4 linked regions of the Pelodiscus sinensis genome follow. The protein of the gene in region 4 interacts with the protein of the main gene of each other region in a biochemical or structural test. Links are inferred from orthologs where the notes say so. Each region holds a gene or a part of one and is shown on either strand. Other genes may lie near its edges.

The links.
Region 1: of the proteins of MAPT (region 4) and STUB1, one has a biochemical effect on the other in vitro, tested with the Homo sapiens proteins (11 studies listed by BioGRID, with this or other methods). The link is inferred for Pelodiscus sinensis from reciprocal best matches to the Homo sapiens genes MAPT and STUB1.
Region 2: of the proteins of MAPT (region 4) and DYRK1A, one has a biochemical effect on the other in vitro, tested with the Homo sapiens proteins (2 studies listed by BioGRID). The link is inferred for Pelodiscus sinensis from reciprocal best matches to the Homo sapiens genes MAPT and DYRK1A.
Region 3: the proteins of MAPT (region 4) and APOE form a complex in vitro, tested with the Homo sapiens proteins (2 studies listed by BioGRID, with this or other methods). The link is inferred for Pelodiscus sinensis from reciprocal best matches to the Homo sapiens genes MAPT and APOE.

Annotation. Positions count from the first base shown.
Region 1 is NC_134726.1:5,342,914-5,350,349, reverse strand, and holds the start of STUB1 (E3 ubiquitin-protein ligase CHIP), read left to right. Parts: upstream 1-4,421; coding exon 4,422-4,640; intron 4,641-7,436. Other genes in the region: uncharacterized protein LOC102443902, read right to left, coding at 1,710-1,803, 2,035-2,162. UniProt on the Homo sapiens protein: E3 ubiquitin-protein ligase which targets misfolded chaperone substrates towards proteasomal degradation.
Region 2 is NC_134711.1:186,526,230-186,534,043, reverse strand, and holds the start of DYRK1A (dual specificity tyrosine-phosphorylation-regulated kinase 1A), read right to left. Parts: upstream 3,005-7,814; 5' UTR 2,455-3,004; intron 2,397-2,454; exon of another isoform or gene 2,128-2,396; intron 1-2,127. UniProt on the Homo sapiens protein: Dual-specificity kinase which possesses both serine/threonine and tyrosine kinase activities. Exhibits a substrate preference for proline at position P+1 and arginine at position P-3.
Region 3 is NW_027465876.1:424,162-431,745, reverse strand, and holds the start of APOE (apolipoprotein E), read left to right. Parts: upstream 1-4,572; 5' UTR 4,573-4,672; exon of another isoform or gene 4,673-4,699; intron 4,700-5,669; 5' UTR 5,670-5,683; coding exon 5,684-5,726; intron 5,727-7,584. UniProt on the Homo sapiens protein: APOE is an apolipoprotein, a protein associating with lipid particles, that mainly functions in lipoprotein-mediated lipid transport between organs via the plasma and interstitial fluids.
Region 4 is NC_134739.1:7,126,202-7,133,848, reverse strand, and holds the start of MAPT (microtubule-associated protein tau), read left to right. Parts: upstream 1-4,643; 5' UTR 4,644-4,673; coding exon 4,674-5,541; intron 5,542-7,647. UniProt on the Homo sapiens protein: Promotes microtubule assembly and stability, and might be involved in the establishment and maintenance of neuronal polarity.

The sequences.
Region 1 (7,436 bases), on a different chromosome or scaffold from region 4:
ATGGTTCCTTCCCATATGGTGGAAAGAGTACGATGAGTTCTTCCAGGGTTATTACTTTTTAGCAGAGGTTCCCAAGCCACGGTCTGTGGGCCACCAGTGATCCAGAGGCAGAGTCCTTCCTGGCATTTTCCAGGTTGAGATGTTTTGGGATTGGAAGGAAGACAACCCAGGAGGGGATCATTATCCTCAAGCATAGTCCAAAGAAGGAAAGAGCTGTATGACTATTGAAAAGGAGACGGCCAAGTGGGCTGAGGCTCAGAACTGAGGCTCTGGGGGACGACAAGGTGTTGCGTGACCTTATGAAAAAAAAATTTCCAGCAACATTTGGTTTTGTTGGAGAGTGGGATTTACAACTTCCTCACCCACAGTCTGAGCACATCGCTCCCAGCTCCTTCCATCGCTTCAGGGGTTTCCTCTTCTATTCCTAAGCATGTGCTCCTCTGACCACCCTTTCAAGCCTCTGTTCCATTACAACACCACTAGTCTCTTCCTTTAGTTTCCACCATCTCCTCCACCTTGCCCCCTACCTTCTTCCTGCTCCTCTCCTTCCTTGGACTTTTCTCCCCACCCCTCCTCCTGTGAGTCAACAGCCCATGCAATGTATTATGCAGCAGGGAGCCCGCCTCCTTGTTTGTAAAGAGTTGTGTACAGTATTAATGTTACATATATATCTGACTGAAATAATAGTTCCTCTATTTTAGTGGAAACACACGCACAGCTCTATTATGCTAGTGAGAGGAAAATTACCAAGCTGTGTGAAATGTAAAAATTAAACAAACAGGACACCTCGGATTAAAAAATATTCCTGCTCTGATATTCTAAGATGTTATTACTGAGGCAAACAGTATAACTTTTAAATAAGGGGGGTCAAATCCCCAGACTCAAAAGGTGAGGAGGCTGCTACCTGGCATAGTGTCACTGTACCCTCTCCACTGTAAGATCCTGTGTAGAAGACATAGCCTGAGCAACTGCATGTGGCAGAAAAGTCACATGCTTCTGTGATCCCAGACTACTGGGTCAATCCCTTAGGGCTGAGGGTAGCTGACTGCAATTACAGCAAGCCTGAGGCTCCTATAAGTTGTCAGGGCCCACAATAACCCCTCAATTAAGGAGTCACAAAGGCAGAATAAAGATGCCATTGCCCCTCCCGCTGTCTTACATCACGCATGGTTCAGAAAGAGCAGAGGATTTGACTGGATTTTTTTTTTCCTTAACAGCAACACCTTTAAAATAGGAACAGCAGAATTAAATAGATGCCAACTACAGAGGCCTTAAGGCTGACAGCATCAGACTCTTACCACATATGTTTAAAAAAAAAATCAATATAATCATCAGAGTTCAAAACCACCAGTAATTGAAAATGTTACAGACCTCAAGGCTCTGAGGCTATGACTACACTATAGAGCTTAAAGTGGCACTGGTGCAGCTGCACTACTGTAAGCTCTCCAATGTAGTTGCTCTATGGCTCGTGAGTTTAATTTTTCCAGTCCCTGCAAGTCTTGGTAGCAATTCTCTCACTGACACCGTGCCGGTGCTTAAATTGGCATACGTTATGTCTTTCAAGGGGATGTTTAATTCACACAGTCAAGCAACATCACTTCTGCCAATTTAAGCTGCAATGTAGCCTTAGACCCTCCCTGCCACTACACACACTTTGATTGTATGGCTGAAATGTTACATACAATGATTCACCTGGGAAAGCTACTTACTGCTAGTTTCCATTCCATGAGTTTCACTACTTCAGCCCGTGTCAGATATTTTTCTTTCCTCCCTGCAATAGCAACTGGCAGCTCCTCCTGATACCTGAAACAAAAATCCGTTGGTAGACAGAGTCAAAATATTTTCTTGAACCCAGATGTTCATGCTGCTGGAGTTGCAGCTGGTACTGACAGAGCACTGCTGTGAGGAAGCTCATGCTCTGGAAGACCCGGCTGTTACTAATGGAGTTGGGTTGGCAGGGATTTTACACTGAACCGTGCACCTCCTCATACCATAGAGTACAAAAGAAGCCATATTAAATGCTGGAAGATTTACCACTTATCCAACTCGGCAAGTTTTTTCTGCTTGCCTCCTTTGGCTTTGAGTACATCCCAGTAGACACCAAATACTGTCCTCCAGTAGATGGGGTCTTCACAATCATACAACCCTCCTCTTGGTGGCATGTTTCAGAGCTCTGGGACACAAAGATCTACAAGAGAAAGATAAACAAAACTGATGCTTGTAGAAATACAGGGCAGAGACCTTACGGGAAGAAAATGCTGATTCTTGTGTCTGCAAACCCCAAATCCTTCCTCTTCACCTCTTTCACTTTCTATTGGCCCTGTCCGCTTTCTCTCTCCTCTCTCTACTCCTAGCTCTTCACCCACCCTGCTCTTCAGCAGGCCTCTACACCTCTTCACACCTATGGTCCTAAGGCATGGCCTCTAAGCCTGGCTCTCTGCACCCAGGGAATTTGCAACTTTCCTTGATCCATATAAACAACCCCACCCCACATGTCTCTATTTCCCTGCAACACCCTGGGCCTGCTCCTGTCCACTAGTTCCCTTTGCCTTCCAGACCCCCACTCCATGTCCCTGCCCTCCATTTCCCTCCAGTCAGCTCCGTGACCCTTCCATAACCCAGCCCCCTCACCCCCCCAGATCCCCCATCTCAGCCTCCTACTTCATCTCCCTGCCTCCACTTCACCCCCAGCCCCCTGACCCTTTCTGGCTCCCTCCATCTCCCCAGCCCCTGCTAGTCCCCCTTTCTCGCCCCCTCGAGCCCCGCCCTCACGACATCCCCCTGCTCCCTCCCCCTCCATCCTGCCCCTCCGAGCCCCGCCCTCACGACATCCCCTGCTCCCTCCCCCTCCATCCTGCCCCTCCGAGCTCCCCCGAGCCCCGCCCTCACGACATCCCCCTGCTCCCTCCCCCTCCATCCTGCCCCTCCGAGCCCCCCCGAGCCCCGCCCTCACGACAGCCCCCTGCTCCCTCCCCCTCCATCCTGCCCCTCCGAGCCCCCCCGAGCCCCGCCCTCACGACATCCCCCTGCTCCCTCCCCCTCCATCCTGCCCCTCCGAGCCCCGCCCTCACGACATCCCCCTGCTCCCTCCCCCTCCATCCTGCCCCTCCGAGCCCCCCCGAGCCCCGCCCTCACGACAGCCCCCTGCTCCCTCCCCCTCCATCCTGCCCCTCCGAGCCCCCCCGAGCCCCGCCCTCACGACATCCCCCTGCTCCCTCCCCCTCCATCCTGCCCCTCCGAGCCCCGCCCTCACGACATCCCCTGCTCCCTCCCCCTCCATCCTGCCCCTCCGAGCCCCCCCGAGCCCCGCCCTCACGACATCCCCCTGCTCCCTCCCCCTCCATCCTGCCCCTCCGAGCCCCCCCTCACGACATCCCCCTGCTCCCTCCCCCTCCATCCTGCCCCTCCGAGCCCCGCCCTCACGACATCCCCCTGCTCCCTCCCCCTCCATCCTGCCCCTCCGAGCCCCCCCTCACGACATCCCCCTGCTCCCTCCCCCTCCATCCTGCCCCTCCGAGCCCCGCCCTCACGACATCCCCCTGCTCCCTCCCCCTCCATCCTGCCCCTCCGAGCCCCCCCTCACGACATCCCCTGCTCCCTCCTCCTCCATCCTGCCCCTCCGAGCCCCCCCGAGCCCCGCCCTCACGACATCCCCCTGCTCCCTCCCCCTCCATCCTGCCCCTCCGAGCCCCCCCGAGCCCCGCCCTCACGACAGCCCCCTGCTCCCTCCCCCTCCATCCTGCCCCTCCGAGCCCCCCCGAGCCCCGCCCTCACGACATCCCCCTGCTCCCTCCCCCTCCATCCTGCCCCTCCGAGCCCCGCCCTCACGACATCCCCTGCTCCCTCCCCCTCCATCCTGCCCCTCCGAGCCCCCCCGAGCCCCGCCCTCACGACATCCCCCTGCTCCCTCCCCCTCCATCCTGCCCCTCCGAGCCCCGCCCTCACGACATCCCCCTGCTCCCTCCCCCTCCATCCTGCCCCTCCGAGCCCCCCCTCACGACATCCCCCTGCTCCCTCCCCCTCCATCCTGCCCCTCCGAGCCCCGCCCTCACGACATCCCCCTGCTCCCTCCCCCTCCATCCTGCCCCTCCGAGCCCCCCCTCACGACATCCCCTGCTCCCTCCTCCTCCATCCTGCCCCTCCGAGCCCCGCCCTCACGACATCCCCCTGCTCCCTCCCCCTCCATCCTGCCCCCTCATTCCCTCCCCCTCCGAGCCCCCCACTCTCGCCCCGCCCCCTCCCCTCGCCCCCCAGACGCGTTCAGCCCCCCCCGCTCTCACCCTCCCAGCGCCCGCCCCCTCTCACCGGCCCGGCCCCGCCGGAAGTCCCGCGGGCTGCGGGCGGGGCGGAGGCGGGCCGGCCGGGCTGTCGCAGTGCGAGGCCGCTGGGATCCGGCCGGGCCCGCTCGGCAGCGCTGCGGCATGAAGGGGAAGGAGGAGAAGGAGAGCGGCGGCCCGGGGCTGGGCGGCGGCTCCGGCGGCGGGGGGCCGGGCGGGGGGCCCCGGGGGGGCGCGGCGGCCGGGCTGGGCGGGGGCAGCCCCGAGAAGAGCCACAGCGCCCAGGAGCACAAGGAGCAGGGCAACCGGCTCTTCGTCAGCCGCAAGTACCCCGAGGCGGCCGCCTGCTACGGCCGCGCCATCGTGAGTGGGGGGCCGCCGGGGGGAGGGGGGGTGTCGGGAGGGGGCGGGCCGGGGGGGCTGTCGGGCGGAGGTGGGGGGTGTCGCGAGGGGGCGGGCCGGGGGGGCTGTCGGGCGGAGGTGGGGGTGTCGCGAGGGGGCAGGCCGGGGGGGCTGTCGGGCGGAGGTGGGGGGTGTCGCGAGGGGGCGGGCCGGGGGGGCTGTCGGGCGGAGGTGGGGGGTGTCGCGAGGGGGCGGGCCGGGGGGGCTGTCGGGCGGAGGTGGGGGGTGTCGCGAGGGGGCGGGCCGGGGGGGCTGTCGGGCGGAGGTGGGGGGTGTCGCGAGGGGGCGGGCCGGGGGGGGCTGTCGGGAGGAGGTGGGGGGTGTCGCGAGGGGGCGGGCCGGGGGGGCTGTCGGGCGGAGGTGGGGGGTGTCGCGAGGGGGCGGGCCGGGGGGGCTGTCGGGAGGAGGTGGGGGGTGTCGCGAGGGGGCGGGCCGGGGGGGGCTGTCGGGAGGAGGTGGGGGGTGTCGCGAGGGGGCGGGCCGGGGGGGCTGTCGGGAGGAGGTGGGGGGTGTCGCGAGGGGGCGGGCCGGGGGGGCTGTCGGGAGGAGGTGGGGGGTGTCGCGAGGGGGCGGGCCGGGGGGGCTGTCGGGAGGAGGGGGGGGGTGTCTGCGGCCCGGCGGGCGGAGCGGGGCTACAGGACCCTGCTGAGGCCTAGCTCGGAGCTGGGCGGCGCTGCTGGGGAGGGCTGCCCCCCACCGCAAGGGAGAGCCTGTGGGGCTGGGGGGGGCTGAGCTGTCTGGGGGGGCAGTTCCCCTCCGGGGGCGGCGGCTGGGCGGGTTCGCCCCGCATGGGCCGTGCTGCAGGACTCAGTTCCTGCCTTAGCGCTTCTGTCTCCTCCTCACCCCCGCCCGGCTTTGGAAGGATCCAGGCTCCTGTCCCTGCTTCCCCGCAGGCCTCCTCCCTCCCCCCCCTTGCTGTGTTGGTGACAGGGTCTCCTGGGAACAGGTGGCCTGGAGAATGTTTCCCACTCCGGCACACGCAGCCTCTGGATGGGGGCCCAGACTGCTGTCAGCAGCCCACTCGCCATTCAGTGTGGGGAGGGTCAGAGAGACCCTGTCAATCTCTTACCGAAACTGGCAGCAAAAGCAAACAGCTGGGGACGTTGGAAGGTGTATGTGATGCTGAATGGGGTTGCACAGGACACTGGTGATCTCCTAGTCTCTCCACAAAGCACCATATGGGATCTTTAGCCTTACAACTGAAGTACTTGTCAATAGAGCCTTGGTTTCCACTCCCATATCCACTAGGTATGGGCAGGGAGGATCTTAGTTTAAAATGTCATCCAAAGGACTTATTCTACATAATACTGCACTGCGCTGCTAGTGAGCTCTGGCTAGGGCAGCACTTAAACTTGGGATGTGGTCCAGATTACAGGTTTACCAGCAAAGCCATAATCTAGGACTTTCCTGACTATAGCTTTTGGGGATTTGGGTTCCTAAGGGTATGTCCTTTTGGGAATAAAATTCTTTGCTTCTAACATGGCTCTCCCATGGGGATTGTTTTCTCTCTGGCTCTGCAGAACTGAGTTGCACATAGGGCATGCTAATGTTCAGTGATTACTGTTTGGGATGCTTTTCTACTAGGTCTGGCATAGTCTCTGTGCCCCACCTGGTATTTAGCTGAGTCAAGTATTTCCTCTGTTTCGTTAGGAAGATAGCATTACAAAAGCCAGTTTGTGTAGTCTGGCTATTCTATGTTTACTTACACATCCTAAACAAATCTCTGCTCTGTGTTGTCTGTAATACACTCTTCATTTGGGTGACTTTCACCATCTAGCCTGTCTCAATGTAGGATTCATGGTTTTTGTAGTTGGCTATTGTGGTATTGCTTCTTAAGTGTATATTTGTATCTCAACCTGGCTGCTGGTTCATGGTAACTACTAACGCTTGTTAGCTGGTCCATCTTGATAATAGGGGCTGCTGGACTCAGCACGAGCCGGGACTGAGCAGTCCTATAGACTAATTGTGTAGTCTATACAAATTCTGATTAGCTTGGTAACCACAATGTAATATTCCTAGTTGATGAACTTTTAAACAACATACCTTTAGAAAATAGCTAATGGAAATGTACTGGGCAAGATTATGCATCATAAGACTCTTCATTGCTCTAGAAATCCAGGAGTGATCACTTAGCTCTAAGGATATGCTGATTAACATCACTTGTATGCATTTACTGAACAAGCTGTGGTCTGAGAAGTAGTCTAGAACCTTGAAAACTTGGGTTCAGGTTTTGAGTCAGAAGCGAAAATGTGCGTTGGTCTCTTCAGAATCCCCTGTGGATGTTTGTTCACATCATCAAATCACTGCGAAGTGAAGAAATCCAAAACTTGAATAACTGGGGGAGGGGGTAGGTCAAGATTGCAACTCGCCAGTGGAGCTGAGCCAGAGACCCAGGACCAGAATAGCAGGCGCCGCAGGTCAGGACGGTGGTGCGTTATCAGGATAAGTGGAAGTCCAGGGCTAGAACACCGAGGAGCTCATGTGGCAAGGAATGTGGTGAACTGGCAAAACAAGGAGGAAGGATTGGAACTGTCCATGGTGCAGCACATCAAGAAGTGCATTGGCATTTTGTATTTGAAGGCCCAGGGTCTAGGTGACAGAGGTCAGGGTTCTACAGCACTGGCAGAGCTGTGTGGGGGAAGTATGCACTGTTCCAATTTTCATGAGCAAAATAGTTATGCAGTTTAAAATAATTCAGGTCAAGGATTGGGCCTGCACCCAATTACACGTTGCAGGATTTCTGAGCAAAACTGTCCT
Region 2 (7,814 bases), on a different chromosome or scaffold from region 4:
CACTTATATTCTCTCTGCATGGCATGCTTAGTTGTTTCTGAGGAGTTTACAGATCAGGTCAGAAATTGTTATTAAAAGATCAGCACAATATATACTAGAGATAATTCCTCTCTCCTTCCAATAACCAGTGAAAAAGAACATATTCCCCTTATCAGAACTACTTGTTTACTTACTTTCTCATAGATTTACAACCACACACAACAAAAACCCCACACCACAAAATTAGGAAAGTTTTCAATAGGAAAGCTCTCAAACAGACATTCTTGTAGCAAAAAGCACCACACTATATACATATCCTACCTTTTTGTTTTTGCTCATTCGAGTTACCATAATTGACCTCACAACTCTTTCACCTGTTGAGACAGTCTAAATGTTTCAATTCAGTTAAAAGTTTCTCTTTAAACCCTTTTCTAGACTAAGATTTAAAGATGGGGTACTACCATGTTAGAAAACACATACCATTTTAAAAAGTCTAGTCTAGACAAGTTAAATTGCTTTATAATACAGGCTAAACTTGTCAAGTTAGTGCATCTTGTCCAGACCATTACCTAACATGTGCTAACATCTACACAGAGCCCAAAACTTTCAAAAAAAAGACAGATGCTTAACAGACCACATCACTATCACCTTACACATAGTGTGAATACTATTGGCATGTCGTTGGACTTTTTTGAAGCACAAGTATCAGAGAAATCTCCTTGCCTCTACTACTTACTAAAACCATCCTCACTCACTCTTCTTTACTCAAATTGGCCACTAAAAAACAAGATAAGTTCAAAACCTACACAAATCTTATTTCAGTAAATATAATAAAGTTACTGACATAAATTGTGTCCTACCATATTTTTGTTAGCCTGGAAACGATATCAAAGTACTTTTTATTTAGCAAACACTTGTACAGTATCTAGAAATAAGAAACTGTTCCTTTTGTAAAGCTATAAAACTAATTGCTCTCTTTCATTCAACTTCTAAACCAGATGCATTCACTTTGCACATTAACTTCAAGATACAGGTATGAAGCACTGTTAAGTTAGACACTTACGATAAATGCCAAAAAAAGTAATAGAAAGAAAAAATAAAACTTATGCACACTTTATATCAATTACATTAAACCTCAAATATAGAAAACACCCTTGTTGCAGGTACCTCTTCATATGAGCTGATGACACCAAAACCAATCTACAGAACAATTTATATATTTAATAAATTCGCTGAACACATGAAAACCAGTAATCAGACTAGTAACATTTAACATTCAAATACTGGAATGTAGTTACTAACACATCAGACCCAAAAGAGTATAATTATTTCAACAGTATTCTGCAGTTACCAAAAATGAGGATTTATCAGAATACTTCCGGATTCTTAAGGAAGCTTCATTTGGAATAAGTTAAAAAAAACAACCTGATAGCAATATAATGATAAAAATAGTTAATTTCTATTTGTACAGAACCTTGAGCACTGTCCATTTAAAAGTGACTGTAATACTTGCAAGTGTTTGGAAACACATACCATTTTATCTGCACGTTATCTCTGGGATGCAAATAAGTCATATATTTTATCCTTGTCGATTTTTAACAAGTTCTCTCTATTTATTAGCTAAAAACACCTCCGTTTGATTTTTTCCTGATGACTGGAGAATAATGAAAGCTAAGCAGCACCAGCATTCAAGATTCTTGATCAAAGAATCCTTACACAGTCCTTGGAAAGACTAAACTAGAAACTACACAGCTGAGAGAGTCAGAAACACATCATTATTGGAATGTCTAGTTACAGTACTTTAGTTGCAGTTTTGGACTTTGTTAGCAAAAGAGCTGCTTTACAGCAAAAACGTTTATTATCTCAAATGCATGATGTATGTTTTCTAGCTTCTTTAGCAACACAGCCAAACACTGCAGCTAGCTAACGACTAGAAGACGTGCACTCTGTGGGTTTTCCAAAATGACAGTAACGTGACAAGTATTCCCACCATCCCCACCTCCAACTTCCACACCTGACACAGAAATCGCGAACCCGAGTGCAGACGGGGCACTTCAGCCCACCACCACAACAGGTGCCTGCTCTGTTCAACTTCTGACTCGTTCCCGGCCTAGGGGGCTGCGGAAGAGCCCGACCCATCTCACCTACCATAAGGTCACAGCCGGAGAGTCCTGCCATCCCCTTCCCACTCCGCAGCCGGGATCATCGCCCCGCTCTCCCAGCCCCCGGGACCAGAACGACAAGAGCAGCCCTGGCCGGGCAGCGGGGGCCGCAGAGCCCAACACCTTCATGCCAGGGAGAAAAAGGTGTTGCGGCCGCCCGGCCAGACCCAGCCTCCCCAGGGCGGCGCGGGTGCAGCGGGCCCGGCCCGGCAAGCTGGGGCGGGGACTCCCCGGCCCCTTGCTCTAAGATGGCAGCGGGGCTGTCCCCGCGTCGAGGGGCCGGCATTAGCGGAGCCGGCGCCAGGGCACTTACCCGTGTGGGGGCGGCGGCGGCCTCTGCTCTCCTGCCCGGCTGCCGTCGGGGGCCGGTCCCGGCAGAGGCCTCCTCTCGCGAGCTGCGGGGAGGCGGCAGCGGCTGAGCCCGGCGCTTCCCCCGCCTCGGCCAAGAGTCCCAGCACCGCAGCGCGTCCGCTCCGCCAGTCCCGCCGCCCTCGGGCCCCGGTTGTGGCGCGGGGCCCCGGCCCCGGAGGGAGCCTGCAACGCGCCTCCCTCTCGCGGGGAGTCGGGGGGGGGGCCCGGCCCGGCGGGCGGATCCGCGGCGCTTCCTGGCCGGGCAGATTTTCTATCGCTCACAAAATGGCGCGCGTTCCAAACCTGCGCAGCCACCGGCGGCAGCCGGGCCCGGACGCGGCGGTGGCGGCGGCGGCCCGAGCCCCGGCCAGGCAGCTCGCAGACAGCGGCGCGAGCGAGGGAGCTGGCGGACGGGCGGGGGGAGCGCAGCGCCGAACCGAGCCCCCGGGAACTCCTCGCTCACTTGCCCGCCCGCTCTCCCCTCCCTCCCCGCCCCCCCTGCTCCTCCCCCTCCCCCCTTCCGAGCCGGCTTCTCCAGGGCTGTTCTCCGGACCGCTCCTTGCCGCGCCCGCCCGCGCCGCCGCCCCCTCCCCCCGTCCCCTCTCTGCCGCCGCCAAGGGACGGAGCCCCTAAAACCCGCGAGGACGGTTTCCTGGGTAAAATTATAATTCGAGCGGGAAGGGAAAATTATTTGAAAAAAAAAAAACCCAACTGACAAAATGGCGACGGGACAAGCCTGTTACTATGGTAACTGTCAATCACGGCGGGAGGCCGCGCTGACGTGAGGAGGGGGAGAAATGGGCGAAGGCGGGGCTTGGTTGCCGTGGCAACTGGTGCCTCTCTCTCTCTCTCTCTCTCTCTCTCTCTCTCTCCCCGCTGCCACCGGCGTGTGACGTTCCGAACTCGGAGGTGCCGCCGCAGCCCGGCTTGTCCCTGGCGCGGGACCTTGCGGACACAGGGGGAGCGCGCGCGCGCGCCCCGCGCCTGCCTGGGCAGGGCTCGGAGCCGCTGCATCCTGCGCACAGCGGCGGGAGACGCCTCCGCCTCTGCTGCCCCCGCCCCTGGGCCTGAGCCAGCGGGATCTGGCGCATGAGCGCCTGCAGGCAGCCGCCGCCGCACTCACCCATTCCTCCCGCAGCAGGCAAAGAAGTTTCTAGCGTGCAGTTGTGGAGAAACCCCCCTTTCGGCGCTTTCCCGCAGGATTAAGCCGGGGGCAGCGCTGCCTGCCCGGCTCCGCGGGCAGCTGAGCCAGTACCTCAGCTGCTAAGTTAAACTTCGGTATGGACGGTGGCTGCTATAAAGAAAGAAACCTACAGCGGGACGAAGCGATGAGCAATAGCAGAAGGCAGCCCTGCAGCAGTTAGTCACTAGGGAGGAGGCCCTAAATGGAGAGGAGAAGGAAGAGGTAGCAGATGCAAATTTGCTACTCTCAGCTTTCTGGCTGCTGCAGAGACCATAACCCAGGGCTTTCAAACTCAGTTTATATTAGGGCCAGTGCCAGTCCTCATATCTTCCTAGTGGGCACTTCAGTCTGGCAGAGCTGCAGGGGGAGAGGTCGGCACATGTTCTCCCCCTGCCTCACCTGCTGCCCTGCACACTCCTTCCCCCTCCTATGAATCCCCTAGCTCTGACTGTCCCCTTGCTGATTTAAGCCCCATCCCCAGCTGCCACCACAGGTAAGGCAGCGGGACTAGAATGGCTTCCAGATGTTAGCTCTGGGCCACTGCAGGTATGTCTCTGTGGCCTTGGGGAGGTATGTGCAAAGGTACTCAGGTTAGCTTGTGGGGACTTGGGCAGGCTGTCCCTACATTCACCACAGCAATAGGACCTGTGGGGAGTGGAACTGAGCAGCAGCCTGTTTTGGTCTACCCCCATCTCCCAGGCCAGTCCCGTATTGGGGCACTCCACTTTCTGCTGCTAAGGTGAAGCAGAGTGACAGGGCTGACCTGGGAGATGGCAGTGGAGCAGAGCAGTTTCTGCATTGCTTCGCTTTCTTAAAGCTCCTGTCACTGCAGTGAGTGCAGGGGACCCCATCTTCCTCCCTGCATTAGGCCCTCTGGTAATCCCCAAGGCCACATAGCTCAGGGGAAGAGGCTTGAGGTAAGGGGTGCAATGGAGGGGAGAGGGCAGAGCAGGGACTGGATTTGCGGGAAGGGTATGACCACCATCTAAGGGCCACAGAGAATCACATGCCAGCAACTGTGCATGGGCCAGATTGTGGAACTGCTCAGGTGCAGATGGCTCCCAGTGCTGTGAGTTTGAGACCCCCGTCCTAATCAGCAAGTTTGGTTAGGAGAATAGAATTCCTGCAGCCTTAGACAGTACTTTATAGGGGCTTGTCCTGCCCCTGGATTCCTCTTTCAGCCCCCAAATGCTCTCCCTGTGCCTCAACTCTCACACTCCCTCCCAAAGCCTGTACCCCCAGATTTCCTGCACCCCAAATCCCTCCAGCGCCTCACCTTTCCTGTACCCAAACTCCATCCCAGAGCCTGTATCTCCTGTGCCGACCCAGAGCCTGCACATAGCACCCAAATTCCCTCTCAGAGCCTTAAACAGTTGGAGGAGGAAGAGCGTGAGTGCCATTAGAGTGCAGGCTCTGGCATTCTGGACATCACCAAAATTTCTGCCTATGCCTGCAGCCCTTGTGTAGGGTATTTATCCTTGTTTTTAGACCACATTGGGCAATAAACAGCCCATGGACTGGATGCAGTTTGCCAGGGTTAGTTCTTGGCAGACTACCAGACACTTTGTTTAGCTGCACATCTACAGGTACAGTGGGTCACAGCTCCTGTTGGCCATGGATCACTATTCCTGACCAATGGGAGATGCTGGAAGCGATGCATGCCAGGACAGTTTCCCACAGCTCCCAGTAGCTGAGAGAGCAATTCACAGCCACAGAGAGCTGCAAGCAGCCATTCCAGTGGATGTGCAGGTAAATAAAGTGTCCCTGCCTGCCAGGAAACTGTGTCTGGTCCGCAGGCTGCTTATTACCCACCTGCATTTTAGACAATGGGTGGGGAACCGATGGCCCCAGGGGTGAAGCAGGGTCACTTTTAGACAATGAGTGGGGAACTGATCCCCAGGACTCCACCCCCAGCAGCTGGGAGCCCGGAGCCTTGGGGGACAGAGTTAGGCAAGGGAAGGCCAGATTCAACTCAGGGGCTCTGCCTGGGGGAGGGAAAGAAATGACTCCACATGCTGCCATTTCCATTCTCCCTGCTGCCTGGAGAATTTTCTCCCACTACTCTGATTGGCTATACTCACAGCCAATAGGAGCAGCAGGGGACACCGAACCCTGTGCATTCCTGGGGAGCTGTGCCAGTTAAGTGCCCCCCATCGCTCAAACCCCGCACTCACTCCTGCTTCTGGACCCCCCTCTTGTCCAGATCTTTTACCCCCAGCCCGCTCCTGCACCCCCTCCTTCCCAGACCCTCCACTTCCACCCTGCTTCTGAACCCCCTCCCATCCAGACTCTCCACTACCAATCTCCAGCCTGCTCCTGTACCCCCACTCCCACCCAGATCCTGTACCCTCACTCCACTTCTGCATCTTACTTCCTGCCCAGCCTCACCACCCTACCAGACCCCACATCCAATGCATGCTTCCAGGCAGCCCTCTCAAACACACTGAACCTCTCATTTTTAGCCTCACCTCAGAGTTTGGGGGCCCCACAAAATCTACTAGCTTAAACCCCCAGGCTCTGATGTACAAGGGGATTGTGGGAAGAGTCTGCTTCTCAGTTGGAGGCTACCACAGTGAACTGTGAGGTTTTTGTTTGTTTTGTTTTTGTTTGCTTCTTCCTTTTGTGCAACCCCCCAACTGATTTTTCTGTGGGTCAGTGGCCCCGACTCAAAAAGGTTCCCCATCAGTTTTAGACTCTGACTACCCAAAACCTGCAGTGCAAGAATGATGAATAATGTCCTCCAGAGACTGCACCTGCTCCTCTCTTTCTTTTCCTGCAGTGGGAAGGAGCTGGCATCTATCTCACTGAGGCATTTTTCTGCACAACATAGTTCCTACATACTATTCTATGCTGTGGGGTCCTAGGTTTAGCCCCTGTTGTAACATCTGATTCGAGTTTCTATCCCAGCATATGAGTGGATGAGTGTAAGGGAGAAATTGGTGGAATCCATTTAGGTTGACAACTATCTAATGCAGTGATTCTCATCCTTTTTCCTATGGAGGAACCCCTAAAATAATTTTTCATATCCCGAGGAACCCCTACCTAGGAAAACGTTTGTGTGGTCAAAAATAGTTGACAGTGGGGAGTGCAATTCATTACTGCTAAATGCAGAGAATTCTGGTAAGTGGAAGGGCAGGCACAATACAACTAAATATAACCTTAGATACAAACTGACCAAAACAAAGAGGCAGTTGGTAGCCTACGAAGATTACTCTAGTATTGCCAATTGCCGGACAAAAATTCCTGCGATATTTCGAGGGATATTTGGAATTGTTCACAGTATTTCAAAATTTGTATTTATTTATACCATGATTTCTCGTGGAACCCCTGACCATGGTCTGCGGAACCTCAGAGTTCCGCAGAACCCTGGTTGGGAGAAACTGATCTAATGGCACAAACTCAGACTCCTTGCCCCAGTATGCCCCTTCAGAGGCCCTGCCTGCTCACTCCATTTCCCCTACCTCACTCTTCCTTCACTTTCAGTGGGCTGGGGCAAGTGGTTAGGGTACAGGAGGGGGTGTGGTTCAGAGGATGGGAGGGCTCTAGTCTTGGGCAGTGGGTCTGGTGCAGGAGGGGGTCTGGGCTCTGGAAGGGGGCTCAGGATGTGGGGACTCCAGCCAGGTAGCACTTACCTCAGGTGGCTCCCAGTCAGTGGCATAGTGAAACTAAGACAGGCTCCCTGGCTCCATGCTGGTCCTGAAAGCTCCTGCGGGGGGAGTGTGCAGGAATGGCCTCTGTCCACAGGCCTGCATGTTGCCTGCAGTGGCTGCCCCCACCGTTCCTATTACTGCAGTTGCTGGCCAATGGGAGCTGCAGAGTTGGTGCTCAGAGTGAGAGCAGCATGTGGAGATCCCTGGCTCCCCTGCCAAGGACTGCAGTGAGCCACTGGTTGCTTCCAATAGTGGCAAAGCAAGTATGGAGCCTGCCTTACCCCTGCGGTGCCACTGCACTTTTAGTGGTGTAAAAATCTCCTGTTTTGGCTTTAGAAGCCTATGGAAGATAGAGTCTGATTCTGACAAAACCCAGAGGATTGGCAACCAAAGTACATGAGAAAGCAGAAATAGGATACTGGGAGAGAGATTGGTGAGGAGGAAGTGGAACAAGGACAATAAATAGACACAAAAATAGAAAACATGATG
Region 3 (7,584 bases), on a different chromosome or scaffold from region 4:
CTCACGCTGGGGCGGGGGGCGCTCTGGAGCTGGCTCTCGCTGGGACGGGGGTGCGCTCTGGAGCTGGCTCTCGCAGGGACGGGGGAGCGCTCTGGAGCTGGCTCTCGCTGGGACGGGGGGTTGCGCTCTGGAGCTGGCTCTCGCTGGGACGGGGGTGCGCTCTGGAGCTGGCTCTCGCTGGGACGGGGGAGCGCTCTGGAGCTGGCTCTCGCTGGGACGGGGGGTTGCGCTCTGGAGCTGGCTCTCGCTGGGACGGGGGTGCGCTCTGGAGCTGGCTCTCGCTGGGACGGGGGTGCGCTCTGGAGCTGGCTCTCGCTGGGACGGGGGGGCGCTCTGGAGCAGGCTCTCGCTGGGACCGGGGTGCGCTCTGGAGCTGGCTCTCGCTGGGACGGGGGTGCGCTCTGGAGCTGGCTGTCGCTGGGACGGGGGGGCGCTCTGGAGCTGGCTCTCGCTGGGACGGGGGGGGGCGCTCTGGAGCTGGGTCTCGCTGGGACGGGGGGGCGCTCTGGAGCTGGCTCTCACTGGGACGGGGGGGTGCTCTGGAGCTGGCTCTCGCTGGGAACGGGGAGCGCTCTGGAGCTGGCTCTCGCTGGGACAGGGGAGCGCTCTGGAGCTGGCTCACGCTGGGGCGGGGGGCGCTCTGGAGCTGGCTCACGCTGGGGCGGGGGGCGCTCTGGAGCTGGCTCTCGCTGGGACGGGGGTGCGCTCTGGAGCTGGCTCTCGCAGGGACGGGGGAGCGCTCTGGAGCTGGCTCTCGCAGGGACGGGGGTGCGCTCTGGAGCTGGCTCTCGCTGGGACGGGGGTGCGCTCTGGAGCTGGCTCTCGCAGGGACGGGGGTGCGCTCTGGAGCTGGCTCTCGCTGGGACGGGGGTGCGCTCTGGAGCTGGCTCTCGCAGGGACGGGGGAGCGCTCTGGAGCTGGCTCTCGCTGGGACGGGGGGTTGCGCTCTGGAGCTGGCTCTCGCTGGGATGGGGGGGCGCTCTGGAGCTGGCTCTCGCTGGGATGGGGGGGCGCTCTGGAGCTGGCTGTCGCTGGGACCGGGGTGCGCTCTGGAGCTGGCTCTCGCTGGGACGGGGGGGGCGCTCTGGAGCTGGCTCTCGCTGGGACGGGGTGGCGCTCTGGAGGTGGCTCTCGCTGGGACGGGGGAGCGCTCTGGAGCTGGCTCTCGCTGGGACGGGGGTGCGCTCTGGAGCTGGCTCTCGCAGGGACGGGGGAGCGCTCTGGAGCTGGCTCTCGCTGGGACGGGGGGGCGCTCTGGAGCAGGCTCTCGCTGGGACGGGGGGGCGCTCTGGAGCTGGCTCTCGCTGGGACCGGGGTGCGCTCTGGAGCTGGCTCTCGCTGGGACCGGGGTGCGCTCTGGAGCTGGCTCTCGTAGGGACGGGGGGTGCGCTCTGGAGCTGGCTGTCGCTGGGACGGGGGGGCGCTCTGGAGCTGGCTCTCGCTGGGACGGGGGGGGGCGCTCTGGAGCTGGCTCTCGCTGGGACCGGGGAGCGCTCTGGAGCTGGCTCTCGCTAGGACCGGGGTGCGCTCTGGAGCTGGCTCTCGCTGGGATGGGGGGGCGCTCTGGAGCTGGCTCTCGCTGGGATGGGGGGGCGCTCTGGAGCTGGCTGTCGCTGGGACCGGGGTGCGCTCTGGAGCTGGCTCTCGCTGGGACGGGGGGGCGCTCTGGAGCTGGCTCTCGCTGGGACGGGGTGGCGCTCTGGAGGTGGCTCTCGCTGGGACGGGGGAGCGCTCTGGAGCTGGCTCTCGCTGGGACGGGGGTGCGCTCTGGAGCTAGCTCTCGCAGGGACGGGGGAGCGCTCTGGAGCTGGCTCTCGCTGGGACGGGGGGGCGCTCTGGAGCAGGCTCTTGCTGGGACGGGGGGGCGCTCTGGAGCTGGCTCTCGCTGGGACCGGGGTGCGCTCTGGAGCTGGCTCTTGCTGGGACCGGGGTGCGCTCTGGAGCTGGTTCTCGTAGGGACGGGGGGTGCGCTCTGGAGCTGGCTGTCGCTGGGACGGGGGGGCGCTCTGGAGCTGGCTCTCGCTGGGACGGGGGGGGCGCTCTGGAGCTGGCTCTCGCTGGGACCAGGGTGCGCTCTGGAGCTGGCTCTCGCTGGGACCAGGGTGCGCTCTGGAGCTGGCTCTTGCTGGGACCGGGTTGCGCTCTGGAGCTGGCTCTCGCTGGGACCGGGGTGCGCTCTGGAGCTGGCTGTCGCTGGGACGGGGGAGCGCTCTGGAGCTGGCTCACGCTGGGGCGGGGGGGCGCTCTGGAGCTGGCTCTCGCTGGGACCGGGGTGCGCTCTGGAGCTGGCTCTCGCTGGGACCGGGGAGCGCTCTGGAGCTGGCTCTCGCTGGGACCGGGGAGCGCTCTGGAGCTGGCTCTCGCTGGGACGGGGGGTGCGCTCTGGAGCTGGCTCTCGCTGGGATGGGGGGGGCGCTCTGGAGCTGGCTCTCGCTGGGACGGGGGTGCGCTCTGGAGCTGGCTGTCGCTGGGACAGGGGGCGCTCTGGAGCTGGCTCTCGCTGGGACCGGGGAGCGCTCTGGAGCTGGCTGTCGCTGGGACGGGGGGCGCTCTGGAGCTGGCTCTCCCTGGGACGGGGGAGCGCTCTGGAGCTGGCTCTCCCTGGGATGGGGGAGCGCTCTGGAGCTGGCTCTCGCTGGGTCCGGGGTGCGCTCTGGAGCTGGCTCTCGCTGGGACGGGGGAGCGCTCTGGAGCTGGCTCTCGCTGGGATGGGGGGGGCGCTCTGGAGCTGACTCTCGCTGGGACGGGAGGGTGCGCTCTGGAGCTGGCTCTCGCTGGGACCAGGGTGCGCTCTGGAGCTGGCTCTCGCTGGGACCGGGGTGCGCTCTGGAGCTGGCTCTCGCTGGGACCGGGGAGCGCTCTGGAGCTGACTCTCGCTGGGACCGGGGTGTGCTCTGGAGCTGGCTCTCGCTGGGACCGGGGAGCGCTCTGGAGCTGGCTCTCGCTGGGTCCGGGGTGCGCTCTGGAGCTGGCTCTCGCTGGGACGGGGGAGCGCTCTGGAGCTGGCTCTCGCTGGGATGGGGGGGGCGCTCTGGAGCTGGCTCTCGCTGGGACGGGAGGGTGCGCTCTGGAGCTGGCTCTCTCTGGGACCAGGGTGCGCTCTGGAGCTGGCTCTCGCTGGGACCGGGGTGCGCTCTGGAGCTGGCTCTCGCTGGGACCGGGGAGCGCTCTGGAGCTGGCTCTCGCTGGGTCCGGGGTGCGCTCTGGAGCTGGCTCTCGCTGGGACGGGGGAGCGCTCTGGAGCTGGCTCTCGCTGGGATGGGGGGGGCGCTCTGGAGCTGGCTCTCGCTGGGACTGGAGGGTGCGCTCTGGAGCTGGCTCTCGCTGGGACCAGGGTGCGCTCTGGAGCTGGCTCTCGCTGGGACCGGGGAGCGCTCTGGAGCTGGCTCTCGCTGGGATGGGGGGGCGCTCTGGAGCTGACTCTCGCTGGGACCGGGGTGCGCTCTGGAGCTGGCTCTCGCTGGGACCGGGGAGCGCTCTGGAGCTGGCTCTCGCTGGGACCGGGGTGCGCTCTGGAGCTGGCTCTCGCTGGGACCGGGGAGCGCTCTGGAGCTGGCTCTCGCTGGGTCCGGGGTGCGCTCTGGAGCTGGCTCTCGCTGGGACCGGGGTGCGCTCTGGAGCTGGCTCTCGCTGGGACGGGAGGGTGCGCTCTGGAGCTGGCTCTCGCTGGGACCAGGGTGCGCTCTGGAGCTGGCTCTCGCTGGGACCGGGGTGCGCTCTGGAGCTGGCTCTCGCTGGGACCGGGGAGCGCTCTGGAGCTGACTCTCGCTGGGACCGGGGTGCGCTCTGGAGCTGGCTCTCGCTGGGACCGGGGAGCGCTCTGGAGCTGGCTCTCGCTGGGTCCGGGGTGCACTCTGGAGCTGGCTCTCACGGGCCCCACCAGGTTACAGTGGGGCTTAGCTGCAGGCACCAGAGCAAGCAGAGCGCTCTATCCGTTCCCACAGCTCTGCCCCCCACATGGAGTGAGGTCCCTAGCAAGATGCATGCCGGGGGAAGGGGGGGCCGCACGGGTCTCCAAACATCACAGTCTGGGGCTGTAGTGAATTTTCATCCACACCCCACCCAGCATGAGGTCTCAGGGTTCCCCACAAACATGAGGCACGAGGTGTGAGCACCGCACAAGGCACATCATGGCACCACAGCAGGTCCCAGCACCACCCCACACAACCAACCTCAGCCCCAGGTCTTGGCCCCCCTAACACCTAGGGGTCAGGTCCACCCCCCAGGGTCACCCCCCCCAGCTTGTTAAACTTGGATCCTCTCTGTGGTTTCCTTGGCAAACAGGACACACATGCTGCTGGGGGCTGATTCCTCCCTTTGGGTCTGCCCCCCGAGTGTGGCAGGAGCGACTCCCCTTTGCCTCCTGCCCCTCCATCCCTGAGGGGGCTACTTGCTGGCAGAGACAGGAGGCCTGGCAGACAGCACGGGGCAAGGGGAGAGCACGTCTGTTTGTCTGTCGCCTGCCCCGGCAAGCAGAGGGTTAACACTCTCCAAGGGGGACTGTGCAGCTCCATGAGGGGGGGGGGGGGAAGTAACCTTCACCCCTACAGCTGCCTTGGCGAGTTTGTGCTGGCTCTGCCCCCACCCCGCCCCCGTGCTGCTGCTGTGGGTATTTAAGGCAGGAAGTGGGGCCCAGGCATCGAGAGCTGAGGGCAGCCTGGGAAAAGACAGGGTGGGTAGTGCAGGCCGGAGGAGACGGGTGAGGGGCAGCAGGAGGAGAGGCAGAGGTTGCAACCTTCAGGAGGCTGGTTTGGGGGCAGGTGGGGGGCAGCCCAGAGGTGGGTGGGGTGGGCAGCAGCCCAGAAGGGCAAGGGCTTTCCTTGCTTTAGCTTCCTATGGGCTCTGCACCTCAGCTTGTTTCTCTGTGCCAGGCCTCACCCTCCCCAGCCTCCTTCACCCCAGCCCTCTCCCCCCCCAGCCTCCTTCGCCCCAGCCCTCTCCCCCCCCAGCCTCCTTCGCCCCAGGCCTCCCCCCCCAGCCTCCTTCACCCCAACCCTCTTCCCCCCCCCAGCCTCCTTCACCCCAACCTCTCTCTTCCTCCCCAGCCTCCTTCACCCCAGCCCTCTCCCCCCCCAGCCTCCTTCACCCCAGCCCTCTCCCCCCCAGCCTCCTTCACCCCAGCCCTCTCCCCCCCCAGCCTCCTTCACCCCAGCCCTCTCCCCCCCAGCCTCCTTCACCCCAACCTCTCTCTTCCTCCCCAGCCTCCTTCACCCCAGCCCTCTCCCCCCCCAGCCTCCTTCACCCCAGCCCTCTCCCCCCCCAGCCTCCTTCACCCCAACCTCTCTCTTCCTCCCCAGCCTCCTTCACCCCAACCCTCTCCCCCCCAGCCTCCTTCACCCCAGCCCTCTCCCCCCCCAGCCTCCTTCACCCCAACCTCTCTCTTCCTCCCCAGCCTCCTTCACCCCAGCCCTCTCCCCCCCAGCCTCCTTCACCCCAGCCCTCTCCCCCCCAGCCTCCTTCGCCCCAGGCCTCCCCCCCAGCCTCCTTCACCCCAACCTCTCTCTTCCTCCCCAGCCTCCTTCACCCCAGCCCTCTCCCCCCCCAGCCTCCTTCGCCCCAGGCCTCCCCCCCAGCCTCCTTCACCCCAGCCCTCTCCCCCCCAGCCTCCTTCACCCCAGCCTCTCTCTTCCCCCCCCAGCCTCCTTCACCCCAGGCCTCTCTCCCCACAGGCAAAGCTGCAGCCATGAAGGTCTGGACTGTGCTGCTGGGAGCCACCCTGCTGGCAGGTAAATGGCCCCTTGAGTTCTTCCCCATTCCCCTGCCCCTCACCCGGCTAGATCCCCCCCCCCCCCCACGCTAAGGGGGCTGGGAGCCAGGACTCCTGGGGTCCATCCTGGTGCTGGGAGGGCAGTGGGGGCCAGTGGTTAGAGCACTGGGGCTGGGAGCCAGGACTCCTGGGGTCCATCCCGGCGCTGGGAGGGCAGTGGGGGCCAGTGGTTAGAGCACTGGGGCTGGGAGCCAGGACTCCTGGGGTCCATCCTGGTGCTGGGAGGGCAGTGGGGGCAGTGGTTAGAGCACTGGGGGTGGGAGCCAGGACTCCTGGGGTCCATCCCGGCGCTGGGAGGGCAGTGGGGGCCAGTGGTTAGAGCACTGGGGCTGGGAGCCAGGACTCCTGGGGTCCATCCTGGCGCTGGGAGGGCAGTGGGGGCCAGTGGTTAGAGCACTGGGGCTGGGAACCAGGACTCCTGGGGTCCATCCCGGTGCTGGGAGGGCAGTGGGGGCCAGTGGTTAGAGCACTGGGGCTGGGAGCCAGGACTCCTGGGGTCCATCCTGGCGCTGGGAGGGCAGTGGGGGCTAGTGGTTAGAGCACTGGGGCTGGGAACCAGGACTCCTGGGGTCCATCCTGGCGCTGGGAGGGCAGTGGGGGCTAGTGGTTAGAGCACTGGGGCTGGGAACCAGGACTCCTGGGGTCCATCCCGGCGCTGGGAGGGCAGTGGGGGCCAGTGGTTAGAGCACTGGGGCTGGGAGCCAGGACTCCTGGGGTCCATCCCGGCGCTGGGAGGGCAGTGGGGGCCAGTGGTTAGAGCACTGGGGCTGGGAGCCAGGACTCCTGGGGTCCATCCTGGCGCTGGGAGGGCAGTGGGGGCCAGTGGTTAGAGCACTGGGGCTGGGAACCAGGACTCCTGGGGTCCATCCTGGTGCTGGGAGGGCAGTGGGGGCCAGTGGTTAGAGCACTGGGGCTGGGAGCCAGGACTCCTGGGGTCCATCCTGGTGCTGGGAGGGCAGTGGGGGCCAGTGGTTAGAGCACTGGGGCTGGGAACCAGGACTCCTGGGGTCCATCCTGGTGCTGGGAGGGCAGTGGGGGCCAGTGGTTAGAGCACTGGGGCTGGGAGCCAGGACTCCTGGGGTCCATCCCGGCGCTGGGAGGGCAGTGGGGGCCAGTGGTTAGAGCACTGGGGCTGGGAGCCAGGACTCCTGGGGTCCATCCTGGTGCTGGGAGGGCAGTGGGGGCCAGTGGTTAGAGCACTGGGGGTGGGAGCCAGGACTCCTGGGGTCCATCCTGGCGCTGGGAGGGCAGTGGGGGCAGTGGTTAGAGCACTGGGGGGGGGGTGCTGACTCCGAGCCCCAACCCGTCCACAGATCGTGTGCTCCCTTTCAGCTGGTAACCCGCCTATTGTGCGTTTTGTACAAAGCCTGGACCAAGGAAGCCCCCGATCTCTGTCAGGATCTGCAGTGCTCAGCATGACAGGGCCCCTGTCTTGGTGGGGGTCCATGCAGGGCCCGGGATGACAGGGCCCATCTCGGTCAGTCTGGGTGGGGCCGGCGCAAAGGGCCCCCGTCTCGGTCAGTCTGGGTGCGGCCGGCGCAAAGGGCCCCCGTCTCGGTCAGTCTGGGTGCGGCCGGCGCAAAGGGCCCCCGTCTCGGTCGGTCAGTCTGGGTGGGGCCGGCGCAAAGGGCCCCCGTCTCGGTCGGTCAGTCTGGGTGGGGCCGGCGCAAAGGGCCCCCGTCTCGGTCGGTCTGGGTGGGGCCGGCGCAAAGGGCCCCCGTCTCGGTCGGTCAGTCTGGGTGGGGCCGGCGCAAAGGGCCCCCGTCTCGGTCGGTCAGTCTGGGTGGGGCCGGCGCAAAGGGCCCCCGTCTCGGTCG
Region 4 (7,647 bases):
CCAGCCAGGAATGGCCAACATGCTTTCAGCATCTCCCCGGTTTTTCATGTAGGGGTAACCCCACCACAACTTTTCATCCGTTGCTGTTCTTCTGTAGATGGCCACGTGTTCTGAGTCTTTGTTCTCTGTCTGGAGCAGCAGATGGTTGAGGGCTCTGAGACACAAAGAGGAATCCACTTGCGAAACACACTTGAGACAATACGAGTCAGCCAAGAGGAGATTCTCGTACTCTGAACACTTCATCCCTGGCATAGGTGACTTGTGGTAGCACTCGGGAGGTGCACCCACCTCCTTATACTCCTGCCAACATTTAAATTGTTAAATGGGGTGCCCCCACATTCTCCTCCCTGCCCCTCTGGGTGGCCCTCCCTGCACCCCTCCCCTGCAGGCACCAGTTGCCTTTTGCAATATACCTAAGTGTCACTCTCCTGTGAAGTGAGAGACGGGGGCTGATCTGGAATCCTGCAGTGCTGACCCCAAGGAAAAGGATTATTTCGCTTTATAATCACCATGTCCAATTTTTTACTTGAATGGTGACACAGATTGGGAATATAATAGTGTAGTCGATTAACCGATAAGCTTATCGGTTAATGCTCTAGATGACACACCTTCTCCCCACCCCAAAACTAGTAAATATTTTAGCAGGCAGGCCAGTAGCCTGGCTCAGTTCTGGCTTGTGCCAGGTCTGATACCTACCCCCACTGCGGGTCTGCATTTAAAGTGTATTGGGAGCTGGGCAGGCAGGCAGCCTGGCTCATTTCCAGCTTGTGCTGGGTCCCGAAGCTCAGATTCTCTTTCCCTGCCCCCCCCCCCCCCCGCCCCCCCCCCCCCCCCCGCCCTGATGTGCTGCTGCCACCCTGGCCTGCTGCCTCTTTATCAGAGGCAGCAGCACAGGGCGACAAGCAGACGGTCCACAAAAGGAGCTGGTTTTTAAACTGGCTTGCCTCGTAGACCAGTGCCTGCCTGGCACCCCGCGCTGCTGCCGGCCCCACCCCCAGGGACGACCGAATAGTTGACTAACCGGTAAGAATTCATGAGGTTATTTGTAGGGTTGTCAGATGGTTTCAACAAAAATACCACACACACTTGACATTACATCACAATCTGCATTACATCTTATTTAGAAAATAGTGGACATTTCTATTTTCTCATTTCTATTTTCTCAATTTGTTTCCCGAACAGAGAGCTCAAATACTGGATTGTCCGGTTCAAAACCAGACACCTGGCAACCCTAGTTACTTGACTGTTCAATTAACCGATATTTAACATCCCTGACACGGCACCCCCTGGAAGTCTGGTTTGACCTTCTCCCCAAACTACTCGTTGGGTACTTTTGAAGTGCTGAGGGTATTCTCGTCAGCCTCCATTACACAGAACAGAACAAAGCTAGCCACCATGCAGTGTAGTGTGGGTACGCAGAGCACAACTGGGTATCCGCTTCACTGGGTTTGGAAACAATCCCTGTAATGTGGGAAGCAGCTAGCTCCCAGGACTCAGGCTCAAAAGGGTGATTTTTGACTTTGCTGAGTTTAGACGCAACTAAAAACTTCAGAGTAGGATTTTCCAAAGTGCCCAGTGTTGGTCTAACTCTGCATCCAGAGGGAGCAACATGAGCCCAGGGCTTGGAGTACTTTCAAAACGTCCATTTCATCTAATGAAACAGCAAGTGCAGAAAGCGGAACATGCTCCCGCTCTCTGTCTTGTTCCATTTACACAATGCTCCATTTATAAAGTGAAGTAAATCCCATTCCAGAAGATCGTTTTCTCGGCGGCATTCAGGTGAAATAAATTTCTCCGTCTGTTTGGTGTGGGTCCTTTCTACTCGCTGCCTGCTGCTACTCTCAGACTTGCCAACAACTTGTGGAAGCTGAGAGAAGTATTTTCAAACTTAGTGATGTTTAAAAAGTCGGTATTTTTCCTGTATCTTTTCAACTCAGGCCTGACCTCCGGCCAGTTTGCATCTTCAGCTTCCAAGTAAACGAGTTTAGTTATTCTTACCCTACTTCCTACAGAAATTTGCCCATAACTGTGTAACAGGGTCATCATGCACTTCTGTGATTGGCAGTTCTTGTGGTCAACTGAACGAGGCTTAAAATGGCAGAGGGTGCTGTAGGTCAAGCTTGAAGTCAGTATCAGAGATGTGATGGAAGAGTTGTAGATATCTGCCCATTCTGTCCAGCTCTGGCTAGTTCTTTTTCACAAGATGTTTGTTTAAACTTCTTCCAAAGAGGATGGAGAGAGGCCGTTCTCAGAGGAGACAGATGACAGAGGAGCAATGGTCTCAAGTTACAGAGGGAGAGGTCTAGGTTGGATATTAGGAAAAACTATTTCACTAGAAGGGTGGGGAAGCACTTGAATGGGTTCCCTAGGGAGGGGGTGGAATCTCCATCTCTAGAGGGCTTTAAGTCCTGGCTTGACAAAGCCCTGGCTGGGATGATTTAGTTGGGGTTGGTTCTGCTTTGGGCAGGGGGCTGTGGAATTTGAAAGCTTGCTCTTCAGCATGAAGGAGGAAGAGTAGTAGAAACTTGAGACACACTCCATGGGAGAGGCTGCCTTTTTAAATCTACAGATTTTTAACCTTATTTCAAATGTTACAAACTCCTTTGATCACGTCTCGCCCTCGGTCTGTATTGAGAGCAACAAATGCATTTTGGGAATGTAGATACTGTATTGAATGTAGTGGCCACATCTCTCCTTTGGCTGGGCTAGTGGTATGTTCCATTCACCTCTGAGCTTTGCTGGTTAGCATACTGGTGCCAGGGAATACCGTTTGGTTATTAAAGGAGCGCACTGTGGCCTGATAACAGATTTATTGCCAGGTGCCAATTAGTATCAAATTTAGGTCTTTCTTGGATCATGAATTTGAGGACTCTGCAATGATTTTCCATAAGATTTATGCAGATAAAAGGCCAATTCAGTTGCAATTTTTAAAAAACGTATCCCATTTTTTAAATTTTCTCTTTACGGTTTGCTTTTTATTGAAAGGATGCTTTTGATTTTAGTACAAAAGCGTCCCTAACCTCGGTTTTGATTAGAAAAGTCATGGAAAGACCTCGTGGCTAGGAGCCTAAGTAGAAATAAGCCACGTGTTTTTAATTAACCATTGAAACAATTTACCTCAGGGTGTGGTGGATTTTCCATCATTGCAAGGTATGAGCTTGATGCATGCAATTCTCTGGTCTGTGTCATGCCGGAGGTCAGGCTGGGAGCATGTCTTCAGGTGTAGTGCTACAGCGTCGCCCCTGCACCGGTACCATTGTGCGCCTCTAGCGCGTTCATGGAGAGCTGCTCCCATTGGCAGAGTTACTCCATCTCCCCAAGAGGCAATAACTGTGTCACCTGGAGATGTACTCCTGTCGACCTGGTGCTGTCTACACGGGGGGTTAGGTAAATATAACTACGCCACTCGGATGTGGATTCTTCACTGCCTGAACAACGTGGTTATACCAGGATAGGTGTGTAGTAGAGACCTGGGTTAAGTAATCACAGATGTTCCCCTCTGGCCTTAAAATCTTTGCATCTGTGACTGTAAGTTCTGTGTGTTGAACATTCTACCACCCGCTGCTCCAGAGCGGATGTGCAGTGTTGTGGTACTGATGACTCGTGCGCGTGGGCGGAACATACAGACTCGCAGTTTGTTTGCAGTCGCAGGCAGGTGTTTCTGTTGTGCCATCCATCCTCTCCACCTACACCCGGGGTTCTGATGATGCAGACAGGCTACTGAACGAGAATACCCGAGCCGCTCTGTCGAGAACGTAGCAGAGGAAGACGTGGTCTAGAGAAGGGAAGATGGGTAGAATTCTGGGAGGCTGAGAGGTGTTAGAAGAGGAGGAGCTGGGGGGCGGATTTAAATTCATTTGTAACCTTGGGCAGAGGAGAATATCTGTCCCCTTACATTCTGGCCCGTGCTGCGCGAGCACATGGCTGCACAACCCACCATTATTTTGGACCGACGGAAGCAACTAACGTTTAATTTGCCGTGTGGCCAGCCTGTGAGCTTCACTGCCATTGTCCAGCGCTGTAACATGAGAGAGACTGGATGGTTTTGTGGCCTACAAAATCCTGCAGTTATGCCAGCAAAGAGAATGATAGCCAAGGCTGGCCTTTTGGGCATGCTCTGCTGGGAGAGAATCTACCCACGGGGTGCACAGAACATAACGGATTGCCCACCAGCATATTACTGAGGCAGGAGGGAGTTTTCAGCATGGGAGACAGGATAACATGATCAGCTACGGCAAATCCCATGTGTATGTTGGTACCCTGCCTCTTCCCAGCAAGGGCGCAGGCAGGCAGAGATGATGGATGATTCCATGTATATCACCAAAGCAAAGTGGTTCTGGTTTCAAGCCTATTGACAGGGACAAGATTCCTTTAAAGCCAAGAGAAGTTGCAGAATTGAATTTGCTCCTGCAAATGGCAGCGTGGAGTGGTTACAAGAAGTCTCTTAAGTTTTTTTTTTTTGTGTTGCAAGAATGACTTTCCGTTGACGTATCTATGCTAACTGTGCCACACTTGATATCCTACCCTTCCTCTTCGCCCCCACAGAGGAGCTGAGCTCCCCAAGGCCATGGGAGAGAGTGGAACTTGGAAGTCAGGAGCATGCGGCAAGGGAGATTCAGCCAGAAAAACAATCAGGTGAGGTTCTTCCGGAGACTCTTGTCCACTTGTATGAAATGGAGACTGGAGAACAGGCAGCAGAAATCCCTGCCAGTGCTGAGACCTCGATACCTGTGCCCCTGGGTATCTGTGAAGACTTCAGAGCCTCTGAAGAAAGCCAAGAGGCAATCTCCAGCACTTTGTTTACTGCGCCCTGGGACCGTGGTGGCAAAGAGGATGCTGGAGCGAGGAAAATGTTGGCCGATGACTTTGCCACATCTGCAGTTTCTGAATTCTCTCGGAGTGGTCCAAGTGATGAAATGTCCCATCGCGAGACACTTGCTACTCGGTTTGAAAAGTCGCCCCTGGGTGTTGATGATGTGGGGTATGATCCAAGGGACAGCTCCTGTATCAAAGGGGGGCCATCTCCTTTACATGCCAGCGGCAAATTGAAAGAAGAGGCCTCTGCGCAGGAAAAAGATGAGGACCGCGACATTGACGAAACTGTTCAGCAGGGTTCACCATCCTCATTATGCCGACAAGACTCGATGCTTGAAGCATTTCCCCATCCAGCCGCGGCCGAGGAAGCTGTAGAGGTGGATGCAGAAGGCAGGGAAGCTCATAAAGTGGCAGAGACTCTAGATGACACTCAACGGTGGCTGTCGGGGAAAGTGTATGATGCTGTCGTCCCGATGGAGCCCTCCGTAAGGATGTACCAAGTGGAAGTGGAAGCTAACGTAATAAGGGAGAGGGAAATCTCAGCTTCTCCACTAGAAGCAGCCACGTTTCCCGATAGGTTAAAAAAGGACGTGGCAGATGGAAGCGTTTCCGTGCAACAGGAGACGGGGGGAATGGTGCAGGCCATGGCAAAACAAGAGGCACTCAAAAAGAAACCTGCAACTCACATGTCAGAGAAACAAGTCAGTCGGGTTCCTCGTTTAAAAGGTGTGTGCATCTCGTTTTCCTGCTCCGCACTTGCTTCTCCAATGAGTTGCTTGGGGCAAGGCTGCTACAACCTCTACTGGCACCCCTTGCGTCCTGCTGCTTGAGAGTTGGCCGTAGGTGTTTGTGCCAAACGAATTCAGAGAGTGCTGCTGCTTTTCTCCCTCAGTTTATGCCTCGCCCTTGGTTTGGTTCATTGGCCTCACCCTCCGCTTCAGTTCTTGCTTGGATGCTGGCGTGCTCCCGGTTGTGCTTTTCTCCCTTTTCTTTTCAGTGTCTTTCGGTTGATCACAGCTGCTATGTAGGCTCTTTGATTTCACCCACCACTCTAAATAGATATAAAAGAAAAGTGTGAGAGGGACTTGTTCTGGGCATTAGCCTCCCTGGAGTAGCGTTGACACAGAGCAGGCTACATAGTTTCATAGCCGTTGCTAGTAAAGCGCATATGGCCAGGGGAGCCGACCCGTTCTGCGGGCCCCAGGCAAGATGGGGCGTCCAGCTCTATACACCCAAAAGGGGCGGGGCTTCAGACGGAAGGGGCGGAGCCAGAGGCAGCCAGCCCTCTGTCGCCCAGTACACGACACCTTCACCTCCTTCAGCTCTCAGAGCTGCCCAGTAGGGACGTTCGATCGCGTGTAGTCGAACAGTCGTGTTACCCCATCAAATTTTAGCAGTTACACGCCATAGTCAGCAGTCAGTGTGCACCCTTCCCCACTCCCGGGGAGCCTCCTGCCACCCTGCACTGCTGCCTCTAAATCTATTTGAAAACCCCCTTCCCATGCAGACCAGCTCCCCCTGCTGCTGCCTCCTGATTGAGGTGGCAGCAGCCCCTGTCTGTGGTTGGCCCGAGCTCCCCATGGACAGAGGCTGCTTTGCGGCAGCCTCCCCTGTTCCCTTCTCCTCTCCCCCTCCCCCCCACACACGCTGCTGTATCTAATAGAAGTAAAGTTAGGCCTGAGAACTGTGTTCCCTGTAAGTTGAGCACTTGGGTGGCCTCCCAGGAGAGATTCAGGTGCCGCCCTGCTGATTAGAGGCAGTTCTATCAGAGGCAGCAGGGTGGGGTGGGGGGGAAGGGACAGGCAGCACCGGCCTCCCCCCGCACTCTGCTGTCTCTGTAGAGGCACGCTGACATCCCAGGGCAATTGCCCCTGTGCCCCACTCGCCATTGGCGGGTTTCCGGCGAGCCAGCCCTTCGTGTCAGTGTTTCTAACAGTGCGAGAGGAGGACAGCAGGCAGGACTGTGTCCTCCCTTTGCAGGCCCAGCACTATGTGCAAGACCACCCCAGAGAGATGGCGGAGTTGTTGGGTGTATTAGAGAGGAGCGAGGTGACACTTGGCTGTGAGATGCCTAAGGGTGTCTGCCGAGAAACCTTGATGCATGTAACTGCTCCGTTAATAGCACTGCAATCAGGTCGCGCTACATTTAGGTGTTCAACTTTGTGCAACCAGGTTAGCTTAACCGGCAAGAGTAGGTGCCTAGATTCAGCCTGTTGGGGCACAAATGCCTTTGCTTGTGTGACAGGCCATTTTTCCTCTGCATTCGAGAGCTATTTCTCCTTTCATCCGAGGGAAACCTTGGGAGGTAGCCTGTTCACTAAAACATGGCTGCTCAGGAGGCTTGCAAGTTAGTGCACAGGCGTGAAAAACACAACGTGAGTTCTTTGGGGGCCAGACCAGGTGCAGCCATCCAGAGTTCGAACGTGTTTCTTCTGCTAGAGACGTGACAGTACAGTCGATTAACTGGTTAACCGATAAGCTAATGCTATAGGCTGCATGCATGTCCTTCCCCCCCCAACCTGCCAGTACATTTTTTAGCAGGCTGGCCAGCAGCCCAGCTCAGTCCTGGTTCGCGCTGGGTCCGGGGCCTACCTCCGCTGCCACTCTGCATTTATAGTGTATTGGGAGTCTGGTGGGCAGGCAGGCTGGTTCAGTTCCAGCTCGTGCCAGGTCTGGGAGTCCAGCCCCTCCTCTGGACAGGGGCTGCTGCCCCCCTGTGCTGCTGCCTCTGCTTCAGAGCTGGTTTTTAAACTGGCTTCTCTTGTGGACCAGTTCCCGCCTGGCACCCCATGATAGAGGCAGAAGCGCAGGTGGTAGGGGGCTCCTCGGGAT